Linked DNA regions of Macaca mulatta. The protein of the gene in region 3 interacts with the protein of the main gene of each other region in a pairwise test. Links are inferred from orthologs where the notes say so. Each region holds a gene or a part of one and is shown on either strand. Other genes may lie near its edges.

Evidence for each region.
Region 1: the proteins of KIF2A (region 3) and LARP1B interact in binary tests that used the Homo sapiens proteins (3 or more experiments, as listed by UniProt). The two-hybrid records come from large-scale screens. The link is inferred for Macaca mulatta from reciprocal best matches to the Homo sapiens genes KIF2A and LARP1B.
Region 2: the proteins of KIF2A (region 3) and FAM13C interact in binary tests that used the Homo sapiens proteins (3 or more experiments, as listed by UniProt). The two-hybrid records come from large-scale screens. The link is inferred for Macaca mulatta from reciprocal best matches to the Homo sapiens genes KIF2A and FAM13C.

The regions. Positions count from the first base shown.
Region 1 is NC_133410.1:136,973,884-136,984,230, reverse strand, and holds the end of LARP1B (la-related protein 1B), read right to left. Parts: intron 7,717-10,347; coding exon 7,607-7,716; intron 6,889-7,606; coding exon 6,761-6,888; intron 4,293-6,760; coding exon 4,095-4,292; 3' UTR 3,012-4,094; downstream 1-3,011.
Region 2 is NC_133414.1:90,568,393-90,578,498, forward strand, and holds part of FAM13C (protein FAM13C), read left to right. Parts: intron 1-3,773; coding exon 3,774-3,869; intron 3,870-5,231; coding exon 5,232-5,431; intron 5,432-6,539; coding exon 6,540-6,641; intron 6,642-9,441; coding exon 9,442-9,565; 3' UTR 9,566-10,106.
Region 3 is NC_133411.1:70,201,582-70,212,459, forward strand, and holds the start of KIF2A (kinesin-like protein KIF2A), read left to right. Parts: upstream 1-3,692; 5' UTR 3,693-3,753; coding exon 3,754-3,817; exon of another isoform or gene 3,818-3,864; intron 3,865-9,397; exon of another isoform or gene 9,398-9,403; intron 9,404-10,878. UniProt on the Homo sapiens protein: Plus end-directed microtubule-dependent motor required for normal brain development. May regulate microtubule dynamics during axonal growth. Required for normal progression through mitosis. Required for normal congress of chromosomes at the metaphase plate.

The DNA.
Region 1 (10,347 bases), on a different chromosome or scaffold from region 3:
TACTTTCTAAAATGGCAAAAAGCATGACAGAATGCCAGAGTGGAGTTCCAAACTAACGTAAGTTTAAAAAATAAAATCTAGCCAGGCACAGTGGCTCACGCCTGTAATCCCAGCACTTTGGGAGGCCGAGGTGGGTGGATCACCTGGGGTCGGGAGTTTGAGACCACCCTGACCAACATGGAGAAACCCCATCTCTATTAAAAATACGAAATTAGCCAGGCATGGTGGCACATGCCTGTAATCCCAGCTACTCAGGAGGCTGAGGCAGGATAATCGCTTGAACCTGGGAGACAGAGTTTACAGTGAGCCAAGATCGTGCCATTGCACTCCAGCCTGGGCGACAAGAGCAAAACTTCGTCTCAAAAAAATAAAAACAAAAAATATATGTATTTTAAAACTAAAATAATACCACTTTAAAAACATAACTCTCTTCCTAATTCCTTTAGTGTAGAGAATGTCAAAGACAGTTTCAACTAGTCTCTTAAAAGGAGGACAAGGAGTTTGAATAACATTTTTAGCATTGCCTTTTTTATGACATTGAAAATTGTGCAAAATCATAAAAAAGGAAGCTCTAAGTTCTGTAGGGACTTTCATAAATTTTGGGTAGGACCATTTAGATTTATAGCCAATGATTGTCTTTTCATTAAATAGTAGTGCTTTTATTTGCTTGAGCTTTACATTCAGAATTTCTTTAAGGGGTATAGTTTTTAAAAATTTTACCCAAAAAAGTACATGCCATGTCAAACATACATAAGTAAAATTAGAAAGCAAAGGGTTAATATTCTTGGTAAGTAATAATGCTCCATAAATTTATCAGAAAGAGATAATCACTCCAAAAGGAAAACATAAGGGGTATTTTCAAGCAATCTACAAACAATATGGTTAATAAGCAATAAAAATTATCACTTATTAGTGACCTGATTAAAATGGTGACATTAATAATGAGATTTAGTGGCCAGGCGCAGTGGCTCATGCCTGTAATCCCAGCACTTTGGGAAGACAAGGTGAATCACCTGAGGTCAGGAGTTCGAGACCAGCCTAGCCAACATGGTGAAACCCCGTCTCTACTAAAAACACAAAATTAGCTGGGCATAGTGGTGCATTCCATGCAGCTACTCGGGAGGCTGAGGCAGGAGAATCGCTTGGATCTGGAAGGCAGAAGTTGCAGTGAGCCAAGATCGCGTCATTGCACTCCAGCCCGGGCAACAAGAGCAAAGCTCCGTCTCAAAAAAAAAAAAGAGAGAGAGAGATTTAAATGACTTTTTGCTTACCAGTCTAAAGAGAAAGATTTATCATAATTGGTGTTGATAAGGATGTAGGGAAGCAGATGTCATTGATGAAAGCGTAAACTGTGCAGCCTTCCTAGAGGGTCTTAAATGGAGACATGTTTTTACTTAGAATTCCAACTTCTAGGAGTTCTTGACAGTAACTCTTTTATACACAAAGATTTATCTGTAAGGATACTATTCATTGTTGTTTGTTTTTCTTTTACTTTTATTTTGTTTTTTTTTGAGATGGAGTCTCACTCTGTTGCCCAGGCTGGAGTGTAATAATGGTGTGGACTCGGTTCACTGCAACCTCTGCCTCTTGGGTTCCAGTGATTCTCCTGTCTCAGCCTCCCGAATAGCTGCTATTACAGACATGCGCCACCACGCCAGGCTAGTTTTTTGTATTTTTAGTAGAGATGGGGTTTCATCATGTTGGCCAGGCTGGTCTCACACTCCTGACCTCAAGTGATCCACCCACCTCAGTCTCCCAAAGTGCTGGGATTACAGGCGTGAGCCACCATGCCCGGCCTATTAATTGTTGTTTGTAACAGCCAAAACCTAGCCACAGTCAAAGTTCAACAGTCAGCAGTTAGCTAAGTAAACTCTGGTATATTCACATGCTGGAATACTATGTAACTAGTAAAAGCCATGAAATAGAAATATTAATGACATCACTGGCCAGGCACAGTGGCTCATGCCTGTAATTCAAGCACTTTAGGAGGCCGAGGAAGGTGGATCACCTGAGACCAGGAGTTCAAGATCAGCCTGGTCAACATGGTGAAACCCCGTCTCTACAATTAAAAAAAAAAAAGTAATGAGAAATATTAATGACATCAGAAAACGTTCAACTCCATTAAGTGAAAAAAGCAGGTTATAACATTATATATAGCCTGATACCAATTTTGGTTTTTCTTCTTTTTATAACAAGTACTTTATTTTCTTCTTTGTGCTTTTCTAAATTTCCCAACGTACATGTATTACTTTTATAATAAAAATATGATAAAACTACTAATTAAAACAAACCACAAAACTCTTGATTATTATATTTTCATTTATAATATACAATTTTCCAATCAAATTTACACTTGTATATTCAGTTGAGTAGAAATATCTGGTTAAATACAGGTTTCAGATGTGTGTGTTCAACACAAAAAGGACACTGAGAAAAATTTATAGATCATTTCAAGAGACCATTTAAAGCTAATAAGCATGGTTTGGAAATTTCTCACTGAAAAGCTGGAACTACATATCCCATTTAAGAAAAGACTTGAAGATCTATTATTCTAACCCATTGCTTGTTTTGCAGTCTCTTTACAATATATCTAAATAAATTTATTTTCTGAATATTCAAATTTGAGTATTTCAGCAATTTAAAGCATCAAAATGACCCTCCAAACAGTAAATATTATAAAATTGCCAATTATTACTTATGAGAAATAACTTACTGAAAACCTATTTACAAATTAACAGCCCATCCATCCAAAGATTATACGCATTTCAATATTATAATTTATAAGAACAAGACATCCAATCTGCTCAAAAAGAAAATACAAATTAATCTAGCATAATGAAACCACTTGCAGTACAACAAAATATCTGTAAATTAAGTAGTGCTCAATAAAAGTGGATGTAAGTTTATAATTGAAACTTCATTCACAAAAATTAATGGTCTTTTACCAGCAAAACTGAATATTACAGCTTTTCAACTATATTCTAAATAAAAATAATTCAAAATTCAAAAAATTCAGAATAAGTGCTTTATTTTTTTAATCTCACAAAAACTGAAACTATCATTTACATCAGTTGTAATAGCAACAAAAATTAGAAATCAATTTGCTATAACTCTTGAAAACATTTATAAAGACAAAACAAAATTAAACAAAAAATAAAAAGGTAAAACTAAGTATTCATTTTAAATTAAAGATAATCTGACTCCTTATGACCTACCCACTTGCAGATGTGTAAATAGCAGATGCATTCAAAATAGTGCAAGATTTAATTAGTTCAGGACAATATTCCAACCAACCCCAATGTAGGTTTTAAATTACTTGTGCACGTTTATATAGAATCATAAAAATAAACCTCTAATATGTAATCAGCTTATGCCAATTCAGAAAACTCCACACCAATACAACAACTGTGGAAATCATGAGATATGACTGGGGGGAGAAAAGCAAAACCTAGCATCAAAAGTGCATATACTCACTGTAACTATAATCTTGCTATATATTCCTACTTTTGTTTAAAAAAAAAGTTTTCTTTAAACTATATGTCTCAAAGAAATACTAAATGTATAATTTCATATTCTTTTTTGAATTTAAAAAGTATATACGTAATCCTCCTTTGTTTTTGGTAAGTTCAAATATGAATTGACAGTGGGGTAATTGGATTGTGGATTCTTTAAGAAAGCTCTATAGAATAGAATACAACATACTATATCTTCTTTAAGAAGTATGAGCTGAAATGTTAGGCATTCCTTGTATTGTTTTTTAAATATATTTAAGGAATGCTGTTTTTGTAAAACCATGGCTTTGAAAAAGAAATCTGAGATCAAAATACATTACTAGAGGATCTCTGTAAAAGGTCACCAAGACTATCCTTGTTTGTGAAATCAGGGAAAACATTTTTAGAATTTATCTTGTTAGAAAAAATGCTACCACTTTTCTTTCTTTTTCTTCTTTCTGATTATCACAATTAAACATCAGAAGATTTTCCCTAAATAAATACTGATGTAAACGTTGACTTCAAGGACAAAGAACTTCCGTAAGAGTCTATTTCTCAGGCATTTCACCATTTCTTGAGACCACAGGCCACAGGCAGCACTGTTTAATGTGAATTGTCACTGGACTCCGGTGAAGTATTCCTTCTGGGATCGTTTATTGGGACCTGAAGCTGACTGGTAGATGTAGGTTTAGCAGCATTTGGTGGCTTTGTAGAGGAATTAGGTGGAAGTCTATGACGATTACTCTCCTCACCAGAAGTAGATGAATGTCTTTTTCTTCCAAATTCCTCACTAATAGGGGGCTGCAAATGATAAAAGACAACACCGTTGACAATTTTACTGTTTTTCCTCCCTTCAGAACCTAAGGCTACACTTTTCCCCCAAAAAAAGTAAGTTAAATGGACACTTCAGTAGATTTTTTTTTTTTTGACGGAGTCTCGCTCTGTCGCCCAGGCTGGAGTGCAGTGGCGCGATCTCCGCTCACTGCAACCTCCGCCTCCCGGGTTCACACCGTGCACCCGCCTCACAGATTTTATTAGTATAACAAAAACTTAACAGCAACTTAAGATACTAAACTTAAATTTCCTTCCTAACTAAATCAGCCTACTAGTATTTGCTCATTCTTTTACTCAACATATGTTTGTGGTTTTGGTTTTTGTTTTGTTTTTTGAGACCTAGTCTCACTCTGTAGCCCGAGTGTTTTTTTGTTTGTTTTGTGTCTTTTTTTTTTTTTTTTTTTTTTGAGACGGAGTCTCACTCTGTAGCCTAAGCTGATGTGCAGTGGCGTGATCTCAGCTCACTGCAACCTTCGCCTTTGGGGCTCAAGCGATTCTCCTGCCTCAGCCTCCCAGGTAGCTGGGACTAGAGGCGCTCGCGGCCACACCCGGTTAATTTTTTTGTATTTTTAGTAGAGACGGGGTTTCACCATGTTGCCCTGGGTGATCTCAAACTCCTGAGCTCAGGTGATCCACCCGCCTCGGCCTCCCAAAGTGCTGGGATTACAGGCGTGAGCCACCATGCCCGGCCTCAACATGTGTTTATTAAGCTTCTCTCATGTTTTAGGCTTGAGCTATCTGATAGGGCACAAGTATAAGGCTGGGTTCCTTGCCTCCAAGAAAATGTTTCAGCGAGGCAATTTGCCTTCTTTATTCAATTTCGTCAGCTGTAAAACATTTGTATCTCCAGTCTCTTTCTCAATCCTAAACTCCTATTCCAGGCTTGCTTAAGTGAAAATGTTTAACAGATAAATGAAAGCAGTAGAGGAATAAAAAAGATGCCAAGTTAAATTATCGTTAGCAAGTTTGAAGGTTTATCTAGAATTCCTATGATAAGGAGACTGGAGAGTATTATTGATGGTACCAAATTTAAACATCTTCAAACGTTTAAGTACCCAGTGAAAAGGGATCCTGCATTCAAAAAAAGTCAGTTTTTTAGGCCTTTCCAGTTACCAAGATTTGGGAGCCCAGAACTGGACACCAATGAAATAGTATTTTTATGTGGAGATAAATTAAGATAGTAACCTCCTTATCCAATCCTCTGTTGTACTTAAAGGAGGAGGCCTGAATTCTTGGCTTATGTTCAGATGGGACAAGAGTCTCAAATATAGAGCAAGGATGTCTTTGTGATAGAACTGGTTAGACCACTCTAGAAAAATAGCTCTTAATTCAAGAGACAGGCACTTTTATTAACCCTATCCCTGGGTCATCAAGTCCATTTACACAAAACTGCAAGACAAATTACAACACAAAGCAGAGATGATGAACCTAGCCTTCCTTTGACTTCTTTTCTAAATTTAAAATTTTTCTTCTTCCTCTTTTTTTTTTTTTTAGACAGAGTCTCATTCTGTTGACTAGGTTGGAGTGCAGTGGCACAATCTCGGCTCACTGCAACCTCCGCCTCCCAGGTTCAAGCAATTCTTGTGCCTCAGCCTCCCGAGTAGCAGGGATTACACACGTGCACCATCACACCCAGTTAATTTTTGTATTTTTAGTAGAGACAGGGTTTTGCCATGTTGACCAGGCTGGTCTTGAACTACTGGCATCAGGTGATCCACCCGCCTCAGCCTCCCAAAGTGCTGGAATTACAGGTGTGAGTTACCATGCCCAGCCTTTCTCCTTAATTTTTTATTTATCTTCTTCCTCCTTTTCCTTTATCTTCTTAGATTCTTGACATTTTTTAATGCTTCTCTTTTCCTTTTGAAATCGAATTGATAAAGCCTATATAAGTTCAACCTTCAACCAAAGGTGATGAGAAGAACCCATGAGAGTGGACATCGTCATAAGACGGCAGCAAAAGGACCTTGTCTAGCTGACTCAACTAAAAGACACCACTCTTGTACTTGCACACATGCACACAACATTCTCTCCTTAATTTTATTATGCAGGTACCCTAAATCCATATCAGCACATGTTACAGAAAGTATACGGATAAAAGATCATTAAAAAGTGAAAAGTTTTCACATTGCTAGTGACAAATTAGCATATCAGATAAAAATTAATACTTCTAGAAAATGTTTAATTATAGAAGCATATGAAAATTAAATTGAATTAACAATTGCACTGTGGTTATGCAAGATGTTAACATTTGGGAAATCTGAGTGAACAGAGTATATGGGAATTCTCTGAACTATTTTTGTATCTATTTCAAAGTTTAATTTTGAAACTAAAAAGTTAAAAAATAAAAATTACAAAATTAAAGCTTAAAAAGTCACTGAGAAGAGATTGAAATATATGGAGAATAAAAAGAATAGAGGAAACGACTTAAAACTTACATCAACACGGAAGTCTTCTAACCTCTTAAAACTACAGAGGTATTCCTGAAGTTTGGGGTCAATAGACTGTGTCGTAGATTGTGAATATTTCAAATAAGCCCAAAACTTTTCTAGTCCATACAGCTGACCTAATAACGAAGAAGAATATACATTATAAATTATATAAAATTTTAAAAATGATTCACATTAAATATAATCCTATCAGCAATAAACAGTTTATCTTCCAATATATGCTTACTGTAGATCTTGAGAATAAGACATGTAATGAATTAAGCAATAATGGCAGCTAATATTTATTGAGCATTTGCTATGTAACAAGTATTAAGTGCTTTATTTTGCATCAAACTAATTTGACCCATATACAACCCAAAAGATGGATGTTCTCATATATGTTATAGATGAGAAAACTGAGGATAGCAAGGATAGGCAATTTACCCACCGTCACAAAGATTCTAAATAGTGGCAAGGGAATTTGGACCTAGCAATCTGGCCCAGAGCCTGCACTCTTAACCACTGTGCTATTTCTGCCTTTCCAAGCTTACCTGCCGATGTTGCATAGAATTTTCATGTAATGAAACATCAGTGAGTAGCCATGTTTGTCAAAGGGATAATGACAAAATATACCTCCAAAAAAGAAAGACTTGAGAGTAGTTACTTTCCAACACCTCCCAGGAAGGGCCTTCTTACTACCTGGTGCCCCATCCTTCATCAAGAAACATAATAATAGCATGAAGATCTTAAATGGTTTGCCTTGAAGAAAAAAACTATGAATTCCCTCCCTATTTACTGACAGACTCAGGTTTACAATTTCCAATTAGAGTATAAATTTTCTGATGTTATTGTTACCAGATTCGTAGTCTTTTTTGGTTTCTTCTTGGAAATCCTGAAAAATTTCTTGCCTGAATTTTTTTTCCAGTCCATAACTATAAAACCTGAACAGACATTCTAACCCATACCTATAAAGAGAAAATAAAAGGTTTATAATAAAATACAATCTCTCTATAGTAGTAACATCAATATAAGCAAACATGGCACAAGTAATCCTAAATGAAAAATAACATCTTAGCATTCAGATTTTTAAATTTTTTTGAGACTGAGTCTCACTCTTACTGTCCAGGTTGGAGTACAATGGTGCGACCTCAGCTTACTGCAACCTCTGCCTCCCTGGTTCAAGCTATTCTCCTGCCTCAGCCTCATGAGTAGCTGGGATTACAGGTGACCACCACCGTGCCCAGCTAATTTTTTGTATTTTTAGTAGAAAAGGGGTTTTACCATGTTGGCCAGGCTGGTCTGAAACTCCTGACCTCAGGTGATCCATCCGCCTCAGCCTCCCAAAGTGCTGGGATTACAGGTGTGAGTCACTGCGCCCAGCCAGTATGCAGATTTTTAACTGAACTGGTAATTAGTAATCCATAGCTGGCTTTGCTATTTTTGTTGACTCAGCCATAGCACATCATGAAGGTATACAGAGAACCTGCTGCATGAGAGGCAGCCCTTGGACAGTTCAGTATGACCTCTTTGGATGCACACAGTATCTCTCCCTGGTGTTTCTGAAGAACTGGCCAAAAGATTTAGTGATAAATTGGGGATGTGTCAGATTTTCCCCAAACCAAAATGTATAATGGTGTGTTTGTACACAGTATTAAATAAATACTCTTGAATGTAAGCTTTACTCTAGGAAGATAAAGACCATAGAGCTGTTCCCTAGATCCTAGGTGGCTGTCCCATTCAACTATAATGGTACAAACATAATTAAATGGTTAAGAGAGCCTCCCTGCTTTCATTATAAAGTACAATTAATAGTAGATACATTGCTAATAGAGCTAAAATCACTACAACCTTCAACCACAGGTGATGAGCAGAACCCATGGAAGTGAAACAATGCTGTAAGATGGCAACAAAAAGACCTTGTCTAGCTGACTCCACTAAAAGATACCACAATTAAAACACTCCTAAGTTAGAATCCTAAGTCTTTCTGGGTACCTCAGCAGAAAGGCTTCAACCTCTCCATTCTGCTAACATAATGTTAACAGGCTGTCAGTCACAGGAAGCAGGGTGTGTGATTGTGTGTCTCTTTTGTAACCAGCTTATTTACAAGACGAAGAGTGATGGTCTGGCAAGCCAACAAGAGAAATGCAGGACTGCCAACTACACACTTAAACACTAACCTGAGCCCTTGGCTCCCATAGCCTTAAGTGATGCTACTGGTTGAGCTTGCATGACTGAAGTCTAAGGAGATCAAAGACTAAAGGAGCCACAGTTCACAATTACAAACTTGCTTTGATGTTCCTCTTACGGGATCATACTATACCAACATCAGTTGTTCTCAGTCTTAGCTACATATTATGATCATCTGGGGAGCTTTTAAAAAATACTGATGCCCAGGCTCTGCTCCAAACCGATGGAATCAGGATCTTTTTTTTTTAATTTAAAAAATTTTTGTGGGTACACAGTGGGTGCATATATGTATGGGGCACATGACATGTTTTGATACAGGCATGCAATGTGAGATAAGCCTGTCATGGGGAATGCAGTATCCACCCCCTCAAGTATTTATCCTTTGAGTTACAAACAATTCAATTACACTCTTTAAGCCACTTTATTTATTCATTTTTAAATTTTTATTTATTTATTTATTCTTTTGAGACAGAGTTTTGCTCTTGTTGCTCACGCTGGAGTGCAGTGGTGCAGTCTCGGCTCACTGCAACCTCCACCTCCTGGGTTCAAGCAATTCTCCTGCCTCAGCCTCCCGAGTAGCTGGGATTACAGGGGCCTGCCACAATGTCTAGCTAATTTTTGATTTTTAGTAGAAACAGGGTTTCACCATGTTGGCCAGGCTGGTCTTCAACTCCTGATGTCACGTGATCCACCCACCTCGGCCTCCCAAAGTGCTGGGATTACAAGCATGAGCCACCATGCCCGGCTTCTTTCAGCCATTTTAAAATGCACAATTAAGCTACCAGTGACTATAGTCACCCTATTATGCTATCAAAGAGTAGGTCTTATTCATTCTTTCCAATCATTTTTATCTTTTGTACCCAAAATCAGAATCTTTGAGGTGAAGCCTAGGTATCTCTCTTTATTTCTGGAGAAGTAAGTTTTTGGTTTTTATCAAGTAAATCATATTTCAGAGGAATACAGAAATTCTTAGATTATTGATAAAGGATTAATACTCAATACAACATTTATATTGAATAGGCAATATTTGGATTTTTACTCTTATTTCTTAGCAAACTATTCCAAAGACCAAAAGTATGACATTAATAACACAACCCAAACATGCAGCATAACTGCTGGAGTGAAGGACCGAGGCAAATGATTAGCGCTCTCAGTTGTCATTTACTCATTTACCACTTACTTCAAGACAGCTCAGAGGAGTGGAAGACCTAGAGGCTTAGAACCAGAAGGAACTCTATTTGAATCATGGGCTTGTAATTATATCACTGAAAATTGAGTCAATTAGATCCTATTTTTCAAAAATAGGTATTTGTAAACCTTCTAGACCAGAGCTAGCACATTGAAGACATGTAAGAAATGTTAGCTCTCCCCCTCCTTCCTGAAATCACATTATTACTACTTTCAACCAA
Region 2 (10,106 bases), on a different chromosome or scaffold from region 3:
CCAAAGTGCTGGGATTACAGAAGTGAGCTACCATGCCTGGCCCCAATATATATCTTAACTTGCCTCTGTTAGACAAAAGGGAGCAGTCCATACAATTATGCATCCTTTTTACTTTGTATATTCTGGATAGCTTTTTATATCAAGACATAGCTTATCATTCTCTTTTATTTTTTAAAAAAATATTCAATAGCACTGTGATATTCTTTTTTATTAATGGATAGCATTGACATTAATATCAAGTCAACTAGTTTGATAGCTCAAATAACATTTGGTATATGTGTTATTAATCCAGAAACATTTACATATAAAACTTATTAAAAGTGATCATCATTATGCATATGAGGAAACTGAGGTTCAAATATTACATCTTTGTAATGTTAAAAACAGTTTATAAGTTTTGAAGCTGGTTATCTGAACTCATGTCCTCTGGTTTCAAGACAAATATTAACCTTCAATTCCCGGCTTGGACATCTAAATTGACCAAAACATTATCTTTAGCAATTGCTTTCTATGATAATATCCAGTACTGACTTTCCATCTTGTTTGACTGTTTAATTTAAACAGTCAGACTTGCTTACATATAGTGCCTCCCTCAATAAGGCGATGGGGATACTTAGACAGGAAAATCTTGGCAGGACTTGAGTCCCTAAAGCTAAGAAGCATGATTTCTATTGCTCACTGTCCAGAGAAGAGAATGTCAGTTTTATTTCTCTCCTTAAGAGAGATCTCATTTATGGGGATAATTGTAATGACTTAATTTATAAATTTCTGTGGCTTACTGTGCAGGAATACATGGCACCAGTCCCATGGGGGAAAGGAAAACAAGGTGGTAGAAGTGCTGAAGCTATGGCAGCTTTTTCCTAAACAACTTTCTGACCAGGACCCAGAAACAAACTAATTTGGACTGACCCTCAGTAGCAGTTATGTCTCTTGGAAAGCCAGTTTATTTCCAGACCTTGATGATTCAAATAATCACTGATAGGGGGCCAGGAGTTTTCATATGGCAAAGTTGCCAAGCTATAAACAAATCATATCAAATTTTGTCCTATATATGGTCCTGTCTTGTTCAACCTCCTCTTAGTTTTACCCCTGATACTATAAAAAATGGAGAAACTGGAAGAATAATCATCTTTTAAAGTTTATCTCCTTTTATTTATCTTTAAATTATGACAATACATTCATAGCTCTCTTTGGCTGTTTTAGGTTATTCAACATGTAACCGAAAACATAAAGGAAACCTTGTTTCCTTCATTCACATAACAAAAATGAAAAAAATAGATATATCTTGCATACCACAGCCAGCAGCAACTATAGAATTAGGGAGGAAGGATGCACTTCAGAAAGAGACAGCCATTGAATTCAGAGGAGAAAATTAGATCTGATTCTTAGCAGAAAGTGGCTGAAGAATAACAGCAAAGTCTAATGTATTTCTGCCCCCTTAGATTTGGGGTATCCTGCAGAGCTTACCTTGATTCAGTTTCCTTTATGAAGATCACTTTGCAGGCCTATAGCTTTTCTGTGAGTAGAAAACAGCTCCTGGCACATAATCCCACTACTAACCTTCCTCAGGCAATCTGCTTTCCTGTCCTCTATCTGAGGATAAGCACTTGTAGACTTAGAGGTTTCACAGTGTTTTGTACTTACTATGCATGAGGGTATGGAACCCTCACATTTCCTCAGGGATTGCTTTGATAATAATCTTAAGAGGAAGACAATGGAATCAAAGTGAAAAAGCAGTGCATACATTGTATGTGTTCCCAAATTTTTATCCAGCATCTATGGAAGATACTTTTCTATAATGGCATTCATCATTCTATCATGTGTTTTGGTTACTTTTTTCTTTTAGAATTAAATTTAGCTTTTCTAGAATCTGGGGAATATATTAAATCACAAAAATCAAATTGCAATGGAGAGATTCCAATACTACTTAAATGCATCATTTTCTGAAATACTTTCTATGGATTGTAAGTCCCAGTAAGATATTACATTAAAAAACCACTATTTCCATGTTTTCTGAACTCAGACTGAGATTTTTTTCTTCTGTCATCTATTAAAATCCCATGAAATAGATTTTGATGGGAACCTGTTGGGTTTTTTTTTTCATGGAAAGATGTATTATGAATAAAAGTGTTTAAAAAATGATTGGGTTAGAAAATGAAAAGATCTTGAGGTTATTTAAGCAATACTTAACAGGCTTCTATAGAGGGAAGCGAGAGTTAGGTCACAGCGTATGGGACTTAAAAGAAGATTGCTAAAAATTAGAGTCCTTTTTTCATATAAACCTGTGTTGATAGCTTAGTAGTAGGAATGGGAAGGTGTTGGGTACTGTGAGAATTTAAAGAAGTATGTGATACGATCTCTCTCCTCAAGAATCATTTATTTGGGCAGACAATACTGAAACAAAGAAAACAGTTAAGACTCAGATAATGAGATAAGAAGTTGAGAGAAAAGGTAGATCAATACGGGCCAGAATGGTTTGCAATTGGGATGGGAGTTGTGAGCATGAGGATAACTGGGAAGTGTAACACATGTTTGAGACATTTTCTTTTCTTTCAAGGGAGACCGATCTGGATGGCAGATCTATCTGGCATGTGTGGGTGTGTGTACTTTGATAAAAGATGCCTGGGTGATTATTCCATGAGTTATTTCTACTATTCCCTTCCAACTACTTGCCAAGTGTATATCACTGGACTAGAGTAGGAAGCTATGTTTACTAGACATGCAGAAAATTAATGCAGAATAAAAAGCAGGAAAAAAACCAATACAAGCAAAGGAGTTTGGTCACTTTGGATAAATAGGCAGATACATAGACAGATAGATAGATAGATAGGAAGCTATTTAAATTTTTATGCACAATGTGATCCACTGAAAATAGTGATTAGGGATGGGTCTTACAGCAGAGGGGTATAGAATTTATTAGTGGATCAAGAGGTTATACATCTTTTTAATGGAAGGATATTGGTAACTCCAACCTCCTTCTTGTATAGGTAGGAACTTGAGGACTCAGAGAAGTTAAATGTTTTGTCCAAAATAATTTCATTTATATCACAACTAGTCATAACCTAGTATATAATACAAGCATGTAGTGATGAAGACCTGTACAACGTTGGTGTTTGTGACTACATATAATCGGGAAAGTCTAGATAAAATATATGTTTCAGAAGAAAAATCAATGTCTGGACTGGTTTTTTAAGAATGAAAAAGTCATTAAGGAAGAGGTTCCCTAACACTTATGCATTTCAGACTCCTCCAAAAATCACATTCCTAAACTTGGACATATGCTTTAAGAAACTTTTCCAAGAAAAAACTGGCATGTGCTACATACAGTATCTTGTAAATGACTTTATGGCTAGGCACAGTGGCTCACACCTATAATTGGAGGCCGAGGCAGGCCGATCACTTGAGGTCAGGAGTTTGAGACCAACCTGGCCAACATGGTGAAACCCTGTATCTACTAAAAATACAAAATAATTAGCCAGGCATGGTGGTGCGTGCCTGTAGTCCCAGTTACTTGGGTGGCTGAGGCAAGAGAATTGCTTGGAGGTCACAGTGAGCCGGGATCATGCCATTGCACTCTGCCTGGGTGATAGAGTGAGACTCTGTCTCTAAATAAATAAATAAATAAATAAATAAATAAATAAATGACTTTCCTTTTCATGATAACTGTTGCATTATAGTATTATAATCCTTTACTTTGAGGCTTTTTGTCTGCTAAAAAATATTGATGTTTTCATTCTTGTCTGAGAGAAGAATAATAATTTCATGTTTCTCAGGTAACTAAGCAAGACAAGAACCTCATAAAGCCGCTTTATGACCGATACAGAATTATCAAGCAAATCTTGTCAACGCCTTCCCTTATTCCAACAATTGTAAGTCAGGATACTTGCATGCTGTTACTTTGTACTGATGTGTAGTTAACATGATGTCACATAGTAGTACTAGAGTTATAAAAGACCCTTCATGGCAGTATATACTGCTAACAAGGCCAGGTGTCATTTCAAAAAGTGAAAATTTGGTCTTCTCTAACCCCATTACTATACTTAACAGTGGCTGATATTAGAACTATTGTAAAATAGGAACATATAGTACTTGTATGTCTAGAGCCAATTTTAACATTTGCTTTCATTAGCTTGGGTGAAAAGAAATTCATAGATTTCAGTTTGGCATTTTCTAATTTGTAACACAGCTAGACAAAACAGAGCCTTTCTGTTCTGTGTGTTGGTTAATTTTTTCCTTTAATCAGAAAATTAACAATATATTCTTGATATAATGCAACATTTGTTTTTGGTACCATTTGGCCGTACTATACAAGATATGAAAAGATTTATTTCAATAGAAAATATAAGTACTGAAATTGAGTTAGACTACTTTTAGTAAAGAATGATTTATGGGAATACAGAACTAGAAAAGCATCACAAATCCTACTCCATCAATATCAAAACAGTTACTTGTTCAAGATATCAATATAAAAAAGAATAAATATTAACAAATATAAATTTAAGTATGCTTGAGTACATTATACTTCCACATTTTTTGAGATGGATTATACTTCCATATTTTTAAAGACATTAAGAGAATAATTATTCAGTCTTTGGAATTTTCCCATTATGGAAGCATAATTTAAAATGTAGTAGAGTTCTTATATTTCTTGCAAGAGAATCTTCTAGTTGTGATAAGAATTATCAGAACAGGTTGAGGAGTAACCCCACTTTGCTTTGGCTTTCCAATAGCTCTCCCCTGAACTTGTCAATTTTCTGGGTATCCTCTGTATCTGAATGTTGGTCCTCACTGGGACCTGACTTGGGGTATTTCTGGAGGATAAAAGTTGTCTGTAGTCCACCTCATCTTAACTCATGTCACAAGTATTAAGCTGGAGCCCAGAAGGCCTGAGTGAAAGGGAGGAACCACTTGATAGTATAGTCCAGACTGGACCATATCCTAATGCTCTGTGCCTTCATTGGCCCAGAAGACACAGATGAACTTGGTGAGTTAAGTTTTAGCCCAGCATGGCTGCTGCCTTTTTGCTCATTAACTTCTGCAGGTTTTTAATGAAACTGAGGAAGAACTCTTCTTGGTTGCTTCCATCCCAGTTCTCAGTAGGCATTTGGGTCACCTACTGGTTTTCATGACATTGATTTATGGTTCCCCTTCTCGTATTTTTTGTTTGTTTGTTTCCTCAAGAGGCACTGAGCATTACGTGACTTACTTTCTTTAACTCTGCCTGTGATAAGCAGGAGGAAGAGGACTCTGATGAAGACCATCCACAGGGAAGCCAACAACCTTCTTTGCCAGATCCAGCATCTCACCTTCCTGTTGGTGACCACCTCACCTACTCTAATGAGACTGAGCCTGTTAGGGCCCTTCTACCAGATGAAAAGAAAGAAGTAAAACCACCAGCTCTCTCCATGTCTAATTTACATGAGGCTACCATGTGAGTATGAATCCTAAGTGTAGAGTCTCCTCTTAACTCCTTCTGATCTGATACCAGCATATGAAGCAGAGCTGGCCTTTGAAAATGCTGGATTCAAAGGGGTGGGTCAACAGTTCTCAGGGCCTTTATCCTAGACTCTTACATTTAGATGAGATAGTTTTTCCACTAGAAATCCACTTGGTAGTAAGCAAATGACTTGCCCTTTGTCTCTTAAATGGCCCTTCAGATAGAAGCCATTTGGATTTTCATTAATATCATCATTATTATTATCATTATTCAGTAGCTGGCATTCCTCATGATAATCTGGCCTTCTTTGGTTTGTATCTTACAGCCCAGATTATGAGATTTAGTTTAGTTTAATTTAATTTGACAGAAGTGTCTATCAGAGAAAGCAAGCAGAAAACCCTTTTTTTGGTGGTGATTCTAAAGGAGTTATTCCTAACTTTTCAAGGGGTGTTGGACTTTTTTGAAACCAACAGAATTGTTTTAAGAGAAAGCCCATATATAATTTCAAGTTCACAGAATCTCTGAAACCATACATGAGTTTGGTCTGCTTGTGTATACCACATTCCTGCTCTAGCGTGTATGACTTTTCTCTCATCTTGGTAGAATGAAGTGAGTAGAATTCACAATGTAACTATAGCTTTCTTCTAGGTCTTATTTTCATTCACAGGGGTTATGCCATTCTCCTAATATTCCTACACTTATTTCTCTAGATTAAGAATAGAATTGTCTTTAAAAGCTGTTCCTCTGTATCTCTTCAGTCTATCACCAAATGCTGATGAGTATTCCTTCAAAATATCCCTTCCCTCATCCATCTATATTGCTGTTACCCTTTCCAGTTCTTTCAGTGGATTCAATCAATCTGCTTGCCTCTTGTCTGTCCTTTCCCATATCTTGTGATATTTTTTCCATCAGGTAATTTTCCCTGCTTATGTGCTTGCCTATGGTCAGGCTCTATGTGTGTCATATTTACCCAAAAGACACTCTTATGCTCAGAACACTTTTCAATCGTAGTATGCTTTTTTGGCTGAACAGATAAATCTGCTCACGATGATCTCTCAATTATGCCAGTGCCCAGTAATGACAAATATTCTACCTTATATAGGCCTGTACTTCTTGACCATCTCCGAGAAACTAGGGCTGACAAGAAGAGACTGCGGAAAGCCTTAAGAGAATTTGAAGAACAGTTTTTTAAACAAACAGGAAGGTACGTGTGGGCAGAGAGATTTTTAAAGCTAATACTTCCTAGAGAATTACTGTTAAAAATGACCTGCAATTTTTTGCAGGAACGGTGACTTTTTACAAAATGTGTATCATTTTCACACTGGCTTAGACTCAGGATTTGTCCAATGCAACATTCTAATATTGCCAATATTAGGGATGTTTTATGGGACATGGTAGCTGTCAGGTATGACATCAATCTGTAAAAAATAAAAGTTAAACTCTAAAAATCTCTAACTTTGCACAATAAATCTCGACATAAATACATGAATTGTGTGGTCTATTCACCTTAGTCCCTGGCAGGTTTTCCATTTTAGCCTACCAGGATATTCTTTGGGACTGGACCTACTGAGTGAAAAGCTTTTTGCATTCAGCCAACAGAGATGTATCAACTTATTTTCTAGTTGGAATCTTCCTTTCAAGTTGATTGCAAAAGTCCAACTTACCTTTATGGTGATGTTAACTAATCTAGTGAGAAATGTTATGTGGCTCATAAATTTAGAACATAAAGCATTTGTTGTTATTTTTCCTTTTCCATCCTTTTTTCTTTTATAAAATGTTCATGTAACATTCCTTGTAAAACATTCCTTGGAGTAGTAACTTTGTCTGGACTGTCTGCTATTATTATACCTTGGATAAATATGTGACTTACACTATAAAGTTCCTGATCTCTGCCTCTTTTGGATTAAAGGTATTCTATGGGAATTTTTCATTCAGGGAAATATTTGTGGAGATGTTATCAAATATTCTAAATCTAAACAGTCATTACATATGAGAAATGACACTTTAAGATGTGCATACATTCATTTCATAAATTTGAGTTCCCTGAATAAATTTATATTTTTAGCAATTTGAACCCAGGAATCTATCTTAAGGGGTTTGATAACTTCCCAGTGTGCTACTAGTTCTGCCTAGTGGATCTGCAGTGCCACTTGGTATGCTTTTGTCATACAGGGAAGTTAGTTATGGTGTTAGGTATGGTGTTCTACTGCACCTATGAGTCTTAAACCCACTTCAGATAAGCCTATATATGGCTATGAAGTTGTATGCCCCCTTGTGGTGATATATTTCAACCAAATGCACAAGTGATGATCTTTTACAACTAAAATCAAACAGTTGAGTGGCTAGGAAATATGGACCTTAATTTTGTTTATCTAAGACATTTTATTGGGAAGGCCTAAGTATCAGTAAGGTAAAATAACCATGCAAATGGATTACTAAAATGTTTAAGGCACTATAAATATTCTTGGCAATATTTGCCATACAAGAGGCATGAGAATCATATAGATATTACATTATTATTAATGATTATGAGCTTGGAACTGTGCTAAGCACTTTAGTATGTTTTATATAATGGGGAAACTGCTTCAGGAAAGACTTGGCAAAACTTTCCATCCTTGTCAAAGCACTCTTATTAGCCAAAATGGAATATGCAAAACTAGGCAAAATTACATAATGGATTATTAATGTTTCTCTGTAATAATTAGATAATTTCTTTACTTAGATCTATTTATACAAATTAAGGTGATATTCAGACATCCAGTTATGATAAGTTTGACTCATAACACAGAATGAAGACAAAGGATTTATGTTATATACTTTAGACAATAGTCAAGAAGAATGCTGTCTATGGATTTGTATACTGTTTTGAGTTCTGTACTAGAAATTGCAGGGCAATAAATAGTGTTGAAATACAAGTAGATACTATATTCTTAATCTGTATAGATTAGCTTGTTTTTTATTTGGTAAGAGATAGAAATATCTCTTTATCATTACTGGGAAAAATAGAAGGGAGCTAAAGATAAAACATTAAATATATGCTATTTACCTGGTTTCAGCCATACTAATGTTAGAGAATATTTGTGGTTATATTCAGTTGTAATTGTGGTGACTATATCTGTGTCCTCTACCCCTTGAATTTCAAAGTCCTGGGTGGAAATGTTTTCAAAGCAATTGGCTATCTTATTAACCAAGAAAACAAGAGTCTTCTGAGACCCTGTCACAATTATTCCCTTTAGAAAACGTATCTTGACAACATATTTTTGTGGGAAGGCAAATGGTTTTAACTCCTGATATTACCAAGTTATTCTTCCAAGTAAACAGCAAGAGTATATGTACGCATACGTATAAAAATCTATGCATTGTTACATGTCTAGCTTTAGTAGAATTAGTGTACAGAAGATAACCACCACGATTTAGACTCTCATAAATTACTTCAATCAAGGACCAGCTCAGTGGTTCTACTACATATTAGCAGAGATAGGTATTACAATTACAAGACAATCTGGAAACGTTTCAAGTTTGTAAGACAGACCCTGAATGCTTTTCTTGTTACCATAAGTTTATAAATGATTTTTATAATGAAATTTCTGTATTTTCAGGTTAAAATTTTTGACAACTCTATTAAGGCTGAACATTTTGTACAGGTGTAGGGCTGTGGCAGATAACGGAAGAATGACAGGACAAAGAATGCCTTGAAAGTTCTATTTCTTGTTTGTTTGTTTCTCCTTAGATCTTTTCACTTACTCCATTGTTGTAAGTCTAAGCACTAGCCACATATTTGCAAAACACTTATGACATTCAAGTTTTCAAAGGTTACTGTTATTTAGAAGTTTAGTAACACATGGAAGAAGGAGTGAATGAAGGTGAAAGGGAAGGAAAAGAAGACATGATGCAAAAACCAAGTGGAAGCTGTCACAGTATACTTTCTCATGTATGAATTATAAAAGAATATTTAATAATGACTTGATTCATTGTGAACTAATAAATGTATTTTTGTTTTGCAGAAGTCCACAAAAGGAAGATAGGATACCAATGGCAGATGAGTATTACGAATATAAGCACATAAAAGCCAAACTGAGACTATTAGAGGTCCTCATCAGCAAGCAAGATGTGGCCAAAACTATTTGAGGTTCGGGAAATGTTATGATCACTTTCACCCATGATATAAAGTAAAGTTTATTTTCCTCTGCCATCCTTGCTAAGTAGTTTTGACACAATGAAAATGGAAGCACTTTAGTGGTAGTATTAGCTGTTTTCAAGAAGGAATAGCAAGTTTAATTATATACAAGGAGAAGGGATTTAAATGGGGGGAAGGATACAACAGGTAGCCTTATAATTGGGAAAAAATTCAGTGTCCTCCATGCCAAGCAGAAAACTCATAGTCAATACAAGTATTTTAAAAAATGTCTAATATTTTATCAAATCTAAATAACATAGCTAGGATGCTTGTTAGGGAAAGTTTATTTAGTATCCAAAGATTGTTTATGTTGATGTATGGAAAAGAGCATGATTTTTAAAAATCAATCAGAGGAGGAAAAGAAATTCTGCTTTTCAAGTAGGAAGGAATGTACCTAGCAAGAAAGTAATTTATTTGAAACTTCTAATGGATTTTTGAGTGATAAAACATTTACTACCTTGTCCTTTAAGTCTGCTAGGCTCTCAGTACCCT
Region 3 (10,878 bases):
AGTGTCTGGTCTGAAACTCCTGAGCTCAAGGGATCTTCCTGTCTAGGCCTCCCAAGGTGCTGGGATTACAGGTATGAGCCACAGCACGCGGCCTGGGTTATATTTTATAGGATGGTTTACTTTTATGAAACAAATTATAGGCCAGGCGCGGTCGCTCACACCTGTAATCCCGGCGCTCTGGGGGGCTGAGGCGGGCAGAACATCCGGGGTCGGGAGTTTGAGACCAGCCTACCCAACATGGTGAAACCCCATCTCCACTAAAAATACAGAAATTAGCCGGACGTAGTGGCGGGCGCCTGTAATCCCAGCTACTCAGGAGGCTGAGGCAGGAGAATTGCTTGAACCCGGGAGGCAGAGGTTGCAGTGAGCTGAGATCACGCCATTGCACTCCAGTCTGGGTGATAGAGTGAGATTCCATCTCAAAAAAAAAAAAAAAAACAAAACCTATAAATATCAAGGCACTATCACATTTTATTTGTCATCACAAAAAATTTCTGTGATTGAGAGAATGTAAGTTATTATTCCAGGTTGATCAAAGAAGTAACTGAGATACTGAGCAGTTTAAGAAGTTAACTCATTGAACAAATGTCTGAGTGCAGACTATATAATCCTAATAAAAACAGTAGTTCTTAGTAGGGTATATATATCTTAGTGATTAATTAGTAGTTACCACTTCAGGATCTTATTAGTAGTAGCTCTAGTTAGGATTATACATCTTGTTAATGTCTGAGTCACAGTTAGAATCTTTGATCCAGGATGTTGAAGGAAACATAGCCACATTGTATGTATTTATGGCTACTCTTCAGGAAGCCACTAGCATACAAAGCCCATAATGAAAGTCTTGGTAAATACATACGCTGATGTGTACCAAAAAAACGTAAGCCTTTTGGGTATGTCTTTTTTTTGAGACGGAGTCTCGCTCTGTCGCCTTTCACGCCATTCTCCTGCCTCAGCCTCCTGAGTAGCTGGGACTATAGGTGCCTGCCACCTCGCCCGGCTAGTTTTTTGTATTTCTTAGTAGAGACGGGGTTTCACCGTGTTAGCCAGGATGGTCTCGATCTCCTGACCTCGTGATCCACCCGTCTCGGCCTCCCAAAGTGCTGGGATTACAGGCTTGAGCCACCACGCCCGGCCCCGGGTATGTCTTATAAAGGAAAAGTTTTGTGTTTGTTAAGTGTTATGTCATACATTTTTATGGAGCAAAACAATGTATGTATTTTAAAAATACCTTTTATATGGATTAAAGGTTAAGACTAACCATATAAACTACAGAGTGTAAGGTATGTGTCAGCAACCATGATACAAAAAATATTTTACGGGCTGGGTGTGGTGGCTCACGTAATCCCAGCGCTTTGGGAGGCCGAGGCGGGTGGATCATGAGGTCAGGAGATCGAGACCATCCTGGCTAACACGGTGAAACCCGTCTCTATTTTAAAAATACAAAAAATTAGCTGGGCGTAGTGGCACACGCCTGTAGTCCCAACTACTTGGGAGGCTGAGGCAGGAGAATAACTTGAACCCACGAGGTGGAGGTGGCAGTGAGCCGAGATCATGCTACTGCACTTCAGCCTGGGGACGACAGACCGAGACTTTGTCTCAAATAATAATAATAATAATATTTCATGAAGCAATGTTAACTTTGAGCTGTATAGCTTGATTTCTTTGCATTCTTTATAAAGTATAAATAAAATATAAATAGATGTTTTATACCTCAGTTGCAGAGACATCAGAAAATGAATTCTAGACAGGAGCTCAAAGAGTTCAGATAAAACTCCCAAAATTATAGAAAAAATAAAAGCTAAACCCTGATTTGGTCAAATTTCACTTGAAACAGGGGTTCTCAAGAGTGATGTCATTTCTGGAATGTAAAAGAAGTTATTTTCCACATTGTCTATCCAGTGTGTGTGTGTGTGTGTGTGTGTGTGTGTGTGTGTTTTAATAGAAATTATACACACTTTAGAATGGATTCAATAGGATTGTTCTTTTGACAAGGATACCTTCAATATGTTCAAGCTACAGATGAAGCCAGTCTTTTAACAGTTTTTAAAGGACCTACTTGATGACTTAGATTGAAAACTCTAGGAGGACACATATATCCAGATAAGCACTGATGTATATATCCAGTTTCCAATTTTTAAATTGTAAATTGTATATTTGTAGTTATTGTTACAGGGAGATTAACAATGACTAGGGAAGGCCGGGCGCGGTGGCTCATGCCTGTAATCCCAGCACTCTGGGAGGCGGAGGCGGGTGGATCACCTGAGGTCAGGAGTTTGAGACTAGCCTGGCCAATATGGTGAAACCCCATCTTCTACTAAAAATACAAAAATTAGCCGGGCCTGGTGGCGCGGGCCTGTAATCCCAGCTACTCAGAAGGCTGAGGCATGAGAATCACTTGAACCCAGGAGGCGGAGATTACAGTGAAAGGCGATCGCGCCACTGCACTCCAGCCTGAGCCACAGAGCAAGACTCCCTCTCAAAAACGAAACAAAACAACAACAAAAAACAATGACTGGGAAAAGTAGGCCATGAAAAGTGTCGTTTCCTACATATCAATTGCCAGTACTACAAGCAGGAGTTAGACGTTTGGAGGTTTTTACACGGTGCTATAAATACAGTTTCCCGGGCCCCGGTCCACGTGGCCTTCCTGCTCTGCCAGGATGGAGAGTCTTGCTTTCCACATTGCCGATGTGGTCAGACTAATTAAATGACTGCAGAAAGACACATTCCCTAGTCAACCTTATGTGTCTGCCTTATTCCATTGAGTCACAGTTGTTGGCTTTACCGGGCAAAGCAAGTAAGTCTTGAATCCTCAGCAGAAACAGGACACCAGCATCTGATGCCTCATAACCTGAACAGTTAAGGACGTCCCACCACAGAGCTTCCTTTTGAGCGTGATGAACTACAAGGCAAGACTACAAAGGGGTGGATCTTCATTTCGATTTAGGGTAGGTGACACCTCAAAGGTGTTTCTTCCCTTCCAGCGTAACTGAATGGGAAACCTGAACCAAGTGTGCTTGGGAGGACTGCTTGAGTCAGCCACCTGTAAGCGGAAATAGGGGGTGCCACCTTCCTATGAAAACACCCAGCCCATACTGTCAACGGAGGGCCCTTGAATTCACATCCCTCAGCCCGCTGGAAAGCCCTGAAACCACGTGGCCTTTAACCCATTCCGGCAACAGCGCCAATTCACAGAAGCGAGAGGGCAAGAAAGCTCAGCGCGACGCTTCCCGCGTCTTCTAGGCCGCGCGCTTAAATCAAACACGACGCCGGCTAGCTGGGGGCCGGGCCGAGAGCGCACCGCTACAGCGGCCGGGTAAGCCGCGGCCGCCGCCCGCCCCGCTGCAGAGCTGGGCGGGGCCACCTGGAGGCAGCCGGGAGAGGCAAGCCGAAGAGGAAGAAGAAACGCCGAGGCGCGCTCTGCGCAGGCGCGCGGCGCCCCGCCTCCCCAGCGTCGGCTCCCGGGCAGGCGGCGCGGGCCCTCCCACTCTACCCCGCGCCGCCTCACGGCCCCGGCCCTAGCTTCACCCCGACTCCCCGGCGTGCGCGTCCTCCTGCCGGCCTGCAGGCCCGGGGCCTCCGCCTGCTTCCCCACAACTGCTCCTCGCGGCCCCGCTCGCGTTCACGCTGTCGCCCGGGCCGGCGCGGCCGCGGGCAGCCGCTCCCCCTCCCACACCTACCCCGCCCCCTCCCCGCCTTTTCCGTTCTCCAGTCCCCCTCCCTCGGCCCGCTGCCGCTGCTCCAGATGAGGTGATGGCAACGGCCAACTTCGGCAAGATCCAGATCGGGATTTACGTGGAGATCAAGCGCAGCGATGGTGAGCCGCGCTGCTAGCCCCGCTGGACCGCTCGGCCTCGCGTTCGGGTGTGCACTGAGGGGACGCGGGCGCCGGCCGCCTCATTGATTGCTTCGCCGGGCTGTGGGGGCGGGAAGGCGGCGGCCGCGGCGCTTTTGTGTGTGGTGTGTGTGCCAGTGAGGCCGGCGTGGGGTCCGCCCGGGCGCCGCTGCAGTTCTCCGGGCCGGGCCGCGGGGGAGGGAAGCCGGGTGGGGAAAGGGCCTGGGTGTCGAGGGTCTCTGGGCGGGGGCCGCTCGCTCCTCCCCCCGCAATCTCCAGCCCCCCCCGCCGGGGACACCAGCCCGGGAGGGAGCGGGCTTCGTTAGGGATGACCCTGCCTTGCGCTTCCCCGCGGTCTTCGCATTTTACCGGCCTGGCCTCTGACGGGGATGGGGGTGGGGGGAGCGAGAAGACCAGCGATTTCACGTTTAGAGAACCGACTGCTGGTCGGAGGCCGAGATGGGGGAAAAGAGCCAATCCCGTCGCCTTAAACTGCCGTCTGGTTGTCAGACCTCCCCGGCTTTCGTCCTCGACCATGCTGCTTTCTTTTTTGCCACTTCCTTGGGAGAAAGATGTGGAGAATATCGCGCTGAGCCATGAATAAGGGTGGGGGAGCAATGCGAAGAAATATTCGATGGGCTTCTCCAAGGTGATGAGAATGTAAAGGGAAGGATAGGGGATGGGCAGAGTCAATGCGAGGCACTGCTGAGAGGGTGTGGGGGTGGGCGACCGGATGTTGATATTTTCACACCCTCGGGAGAGGTAACTGAGAAAAGTGTAAGGCGAGGTGAAGACACATGCCTCATTTTTTTTTTTTTTTTTTTAAGAGCCTTAGGCTTATGTATCTTTCTGTAGGTTTCTCTTGGGGAAAATGTTTTATGTCACTAGCTTGGGGTGTGGAGTCAGATATGCCAGCCAGATTGTAAATAATTCATGTTGTAAAGGAATAAATGCACGGAGGGAGATAAGTGAAATTATTTTCTTTAGGTACCAATATTGAAAGAACGAGAGCTGTGTGATAATCTCGAGTTGAGCAGTGTTCCTGACTTCATCTCATACCGACTCCTTTTTTTTCTTTTTTCTTTTTTTTGAGACGGAGTTTCACCCAGGCTGGAGTGCAGTGGTGCGATCTCGGCCCACTGCAACCTCCACCTCCCGTGTTTAAGCTATTCTTCTGCCTCAGCCTCCCGAGTAGCTGGGATTACAGGCGCCCGTCACCACGCCCAGCTAATTTTTTGTATTTTTAGTAGAGACGGGGTTTCACCATGTTGACCAGGCTGGTCTCGAACTCCTGACCTCAGGTGATCCACCCGCCTCGGCCTTCCAACGTGTTGGGATTACAGGCGTGAGCCCCCGCGCCTGCCCTCGATTCCTTTTATTTGTGGCTTATGTATTGGCCTTTAGCCTAGCCTAGTCAGTAGTAACTTGGCTCTCGCGTCCCCGCCCCCCTTGGATTCTGCCAGGTTTGACCAAGTTATGTGAAGCTAGGTTGATTTTCATGTTGTGTGTATGATATATTGGAAGACCCTATATAGCTAATGATTTTTTTTCTCCATTATATTTGAGGTAATTTGTGGTAACAACTGAAACCATCATTATCCTGTATATGAAAAGATAAATTATACCGCTTAGGGCTTTAGAAGTTACCAGTAACACTGATGGGAAAGAGATACCTTCTTTACTTCGGTTGAGGTTTCTTTTGTATTTTCTCTTCAAATTACTTTCTTGAAAGAGTGCTGTTAATGTCATTTTTTTTAGGTAAATACGAGTTCACAGTATACCAGCAAAAGTAGGATTTACATATTGTTTTGAAGATTCTGGGTGCACAGCAACCCCTGTCCTGGGTATACCCCCAAGGGAGAGGAAATCACCACTTTGTGAAGATATCTGCAGTCTCGTGTTCATTGCAGCATTATTCACAGTAGCCAAGATAGGGAAACAACCTAAATGTCCATCGATGGGTGACGAATGGCTAAAGAAATTGTTCTGTATGTGTGTATATGTTTATGTGTGTGTATAGACAACGCACAATGGAACATTATTCAGCCTTAAAAAAGGAGATCCTACTATTTACCACAACGTAGATGGACTTGGAAGGACATTAAGTTAAATGAAATAAGCCAGACACTAAGGAAAATATTGCATAATCTCACTCATGTAGAATATTTTTTTAAGGAGCTAAAATACACAGAATGAAACAGTGGTTACTACTGCTGGTGGGGGAAAGGAGAGGAAATGGGGAGATGTAGGTCAAGGATACAAAATAGCAGATATGTAGGATGAACAAGTTTAGAGATACAGGGGTACCAATGTTAGTAAAATTGTATTCGAGATTTTTGTTAAATAAGTAGATTTTAGCAGCTGTTGTTAAAGAAGTAATTATGTGAAATGATAGCTATGTTAATCTGCTTCACCATTTTGCTATCTATATTCCATAGCATCATGTTGTAAACCTCAGATACGCACAATGAAATTTATTTTTTTAAAAATTAGGGTGCAATAAAATGTGTAAATTCTTTACACTCTTAAGTCTTTATTAGTATAGATGTTAACTTTGAAATCTTATCAGAAAAAAGCATATGATATTTGATGTATACATTTTAACTTTTATGGAGCATATTTTATTTAAATTTATTGAACTTGAAGTGGTTTTGGTTTTTTTCCAGCCTTCACCTTCAGCCTATACCAGAAGTTCCCAGACATACAAGACCTTTGTGTTCTTACATAAGTGCTACTAACCTAAAACCACGTTTCAGAAGCGGTTTGCCTATAAGAAATTATGGAAGTCATTATCGTGTGTTATTATCCTAACCTATGGTCATGTATCTTTTTATGTGCCTCAGATGCATGATGGAGTTGGTGGAAGGCAGAAGATTAGTAGAGAACTTGGAAAGAAGGGAAGGATCATTTGCATTGGACAGTAGTGTTTCACAGTAGAAATCATGTCTGGTAGAATGCCCCTCAAGCTTTCCCTTTTTCATTTTAAAGAAGCTTGTTTGCTTCCTCTCACTTCCATAACAGATGTATATTGGATAAAACACTAGTGGTTACTATAACAAAAATACACTTTGCAGTTGGATAAACACTAATATCTGAGACAGTAGAAATGACATGAGTAAAGAAGGGCTGCTTCAGACCATTTTATTTAATACTTTAAGTTCTAGGGAACATGTGCACAACATGTTTTAAGTTCTACTTTAAGTTTTACTTTAAGTTCTAGGGAACATGTGCAAGTTTGTTACATATTTATACATGTGCCATGTTGGTGTGCTGCACCCATTAGCTGCTCATTTACATTAGGTGTATCTCCTAATGCTGCCCCTCTCCCCTCCCCCCACCCCATGACAGGCCGGGGTGTGTGATGTTTCCCTTCCTGTGTCCTAGTGTTCTCTTGTTCAGTTCCCACCTATGAATGAGAACATGCGATGTTTGTTTTTTTGTCCTTGTGATAGTTTGCTCAGAATAATGGTTTCCAGCTTCATCCATGTCCCGCTTCAGACCATTATTAACTGGTGACTTGATGTTTTTCTTTTTGCTTGCTGATGGTGATCCATGTCCCTATTTCAGACCATGCTTTTCCTATCAGTGATGCTCTTATACTAATAAACATATTCCAAGGGCAAACAGGTACACTAAAATGAGCTTATTCCTATTTTTCAAGACCGTGATGAAAACTATCCTAATGAGTCTTCACTGATTACTAAAACCAGATAAATTCAGTCAGCATCTGAATTCCTAGGTTATCCTGTGTTATTCATGAGATAGCGTATTTCCTTAAGTATTAATGTTTGGGTCTGTAACTTTTTTTTTTTCAACTCCTCTCAGCTCATACCTGTGGGTACATATTCTTAATATTATGTTTTTAAACTGCATGGGGTAATGGGACTTACTAATAACTAATACTTCTTTTTTTTTTTTTTTTTTTTGAGCGGAGTCTCGCTCTGTCAGTGGTGCGATCTCCACTCACTGTACCTCTGCCTGCCGGGTTCAAGCGATTCTCATACCTCAGCCTGCCAAGTAGCTGGGACTACAGGTGTGTGCCACCATGCCTGGCTAATGTTTGTATTTTTAGTAGTGACAGGTTTTTGCCACGTTGGCCAGGCTGGTCTCGAACTCCTGGCCTCAAGTGATCCACCCACCTCAGCCTCCCAAAGTACTGCTGGGATTACAGGTGTGAGCCACTGCACCCAGCCTCTAATGACTCTTAAATTCTCTGAATGCATCTGTGTGTCGTTACCCCCACTCCCACCCCCACCTCCACCCCTTGATGCCTAGCAAAATTCCTTGCACATCGTTTTTGAATAAATCATACATTATTGGATTTTTTGTTTTCAAACATTTTAATTAATCATTAGAATGACGTCTTAGCTGGAAGCAAAACCTTCCATCTATGCTTCTCTGTACTGCTACCTCCCTACTCTGGCCCTCTGCTTCCCACTGGCCTCTTAGTCAGGATCTACGTCGTTAATTGAAATTGAGTGATCTGCTAAGGTTAATCTGACTTTTCTGGTATTCTAAGGTTATCAGTGACAGGGGTTAGGATTGGAGTCCTAAGATTATTCCCTGCCGCAGGAGATAACCTGGTATGAAATTGGACTGGTATATTTTCTTACATGTGTCTTCCTATTTTTCTGATTCAATTCCTTTCCCTTTTTAAAACCCACTGACTCTTAAAAAAACCTACGATCTTTCTGTCGCGTAGCTAGTTGTTTTTTGTTTTTTAAGCTGCACTGTTAACAGTTCTATAGTAGCTGTGACTACCCTTTGGGTACTGGGGGAGAAATGAGAAATGTTGAACATTTGGAAGCTGCAGCTAATATGGGATTGTTCTTTGGGGGGGGTCTCTTAGTCACAATACTGTGACTGTATTGATACATGTGATCTGAAAAGAATCTTAGAATATTTCCACCAGAAAGGTTTTTGGAGATAAACTAGTTTTCGTTTTTATAAATGTGGAACTTGAGTCCCAGATCACCATAAGTGACTTATCTAGATTCATACAGCTTGTCAGTGACGGCCAGGAACCTGACATGCTCAGCATAGAAATCAGACTATCAAGAACTATGACAGTAAAGGAGGAATTCTCTGTTATTTTGGAACCATATACCGCTTTTTACAGCCCAGTCAAGATGTAGGAAATTGCTTCTTACTTGAGAGAAAGGCACCAGTGAGCAGTGTTACAGAGCTTGATTAGAATGATCCCTGGTAAGAAGTGATATGTTACTACAAGTTCATAAAACCTAAAATTGTGGGAGGAGAATATTCTTGTTTCTTAGTTAAGTGTTGGTGTAAACAGTTCCTTGTAACATCTGAAATCAAGAGGCAATTGACAATTTCTGAGGACCCATCAGGAATTTTGGGGTTCAGGACAGGCAAAGAAAATCTTCAGAAAAGATTTTAAATGGCCGAATTCTTTATATGCTTTGCCACATTTTTCTTCTGCTGGTTCATCTTTACACGTCATTATATAGGCTTCTGGAGAATAGAGTGTGTAAATTTAAGTAATAAAGATGAGCCATGTAGCAATACAGTTGTTCTTTCGGTACAATTATGTGATTGATTATGCGGGTGAGATGGAATAGGGGAATTTGTGACCTAATAGTTCCCTTTTGCCTGAGGACTAGGACGATAATGTTTCTGTATACGTATTTGTTAGGGCTTAATAGTTTTCCAAGTGCTTCAAGACATGTTAACTAATTGGATCCTCACAGGAACTCTATGAGGTAAGCAGGATAGGAAGATGGCAGATTATCGGTTTATAGGTGAAGAATCTGAGGTTGGATTATTTGCCAAGATCACATGGCTGATAAGGGGCATATCCTGGGCCAAAGCCTAAATCCCTTCACTCCCAGCTCTCTTAAGTGCTGCAGACAAATGTTAGCTGATTATGGTGTGAAGTTGTATACTTCAGTAACTTTTTTGAGACATACAAACCCCTGTAGTAAAATTCTTTCCACTACTATGAAAGAAGCGCAAAAAACTTAAAATAGTCACTTACTTATTGCTTCCAAAAGTACCACAGAAAGCCAGGAATCTATATTCATCGCCTAGCCACTTGATTCTTATGACAAAGATTTGAAACTCTGAGGAAAGGCTGTGTGTCAACTTGTTTTATGTGTCATGATTGCTAAAATACTAGAGAAAATAGCAAAGAGCCAGTTAAATCTTGTGTGCTCAAATGAGACAAGGGGCAAGAGTGTGGAAAATCCAGAACAAGATTCCTTGAGAGATCATCTAGACTCCATTCTTTCTAGTCATAAGTATAGTTGTGATTAATATGACATTAATCTTTTGCAAAGTTTGATTCTTGGATTCAGCCATCTCCTTTAATTTTAACACCTCTGTTTTGTAACCTAAAATAATTTTAAGGTGTTTGTTTGTTTTGAGATTATGATTCTTAAGCTTAAGAACAGACACAATTTTTAAACCTTGGATAAAACTAATTTTTATTCTTCTGGTTCAGTTGTAGAACAAATACAGGTTAAGTTGTCTTCCAGTTTTTAGCTAAAGTAATATGAATGATATTATAGTGCTAAGTGAAAATAGACATTAGAATTTCACCATATTAAACTATCCCCCAAGAGTAATATGAGTGAGGGAAGTGTTCCTTTTAAAAGTCATGTTTCTAGGTTGAGCATCGTAGTTCGTGCCTGTAATCCCAGCACTTTGGGAGGCCAAAACAGGAGAATTGCTTGAGCCCATGAGTTTGAGGATCTCGTTACCCACTACGATAAAACATGAAATTCACTGGATCATTCACTAGGGTGTGTGATATTTGGAGTATAGACCTTAAGTGATTATGGCATATCAAAATAATGTGGTCTTATATTTCTTTTCTTTTCCTTTTTTTTTTTTTTTTTTTTGCAGATTTCATTGAATACACTTCTATTAACATCCTGCTATGTATCAGGCATTTTGATAAGTGTTGGAGATACAAAAACAGAATAAAGCAAAAATAGTTCCTGCCCTCACAAACAAGTAAATAAGTGATTCATCTATAGTGTGATTAGTATCGATAGAAGTTTGCCATTTTGTGTGTACAT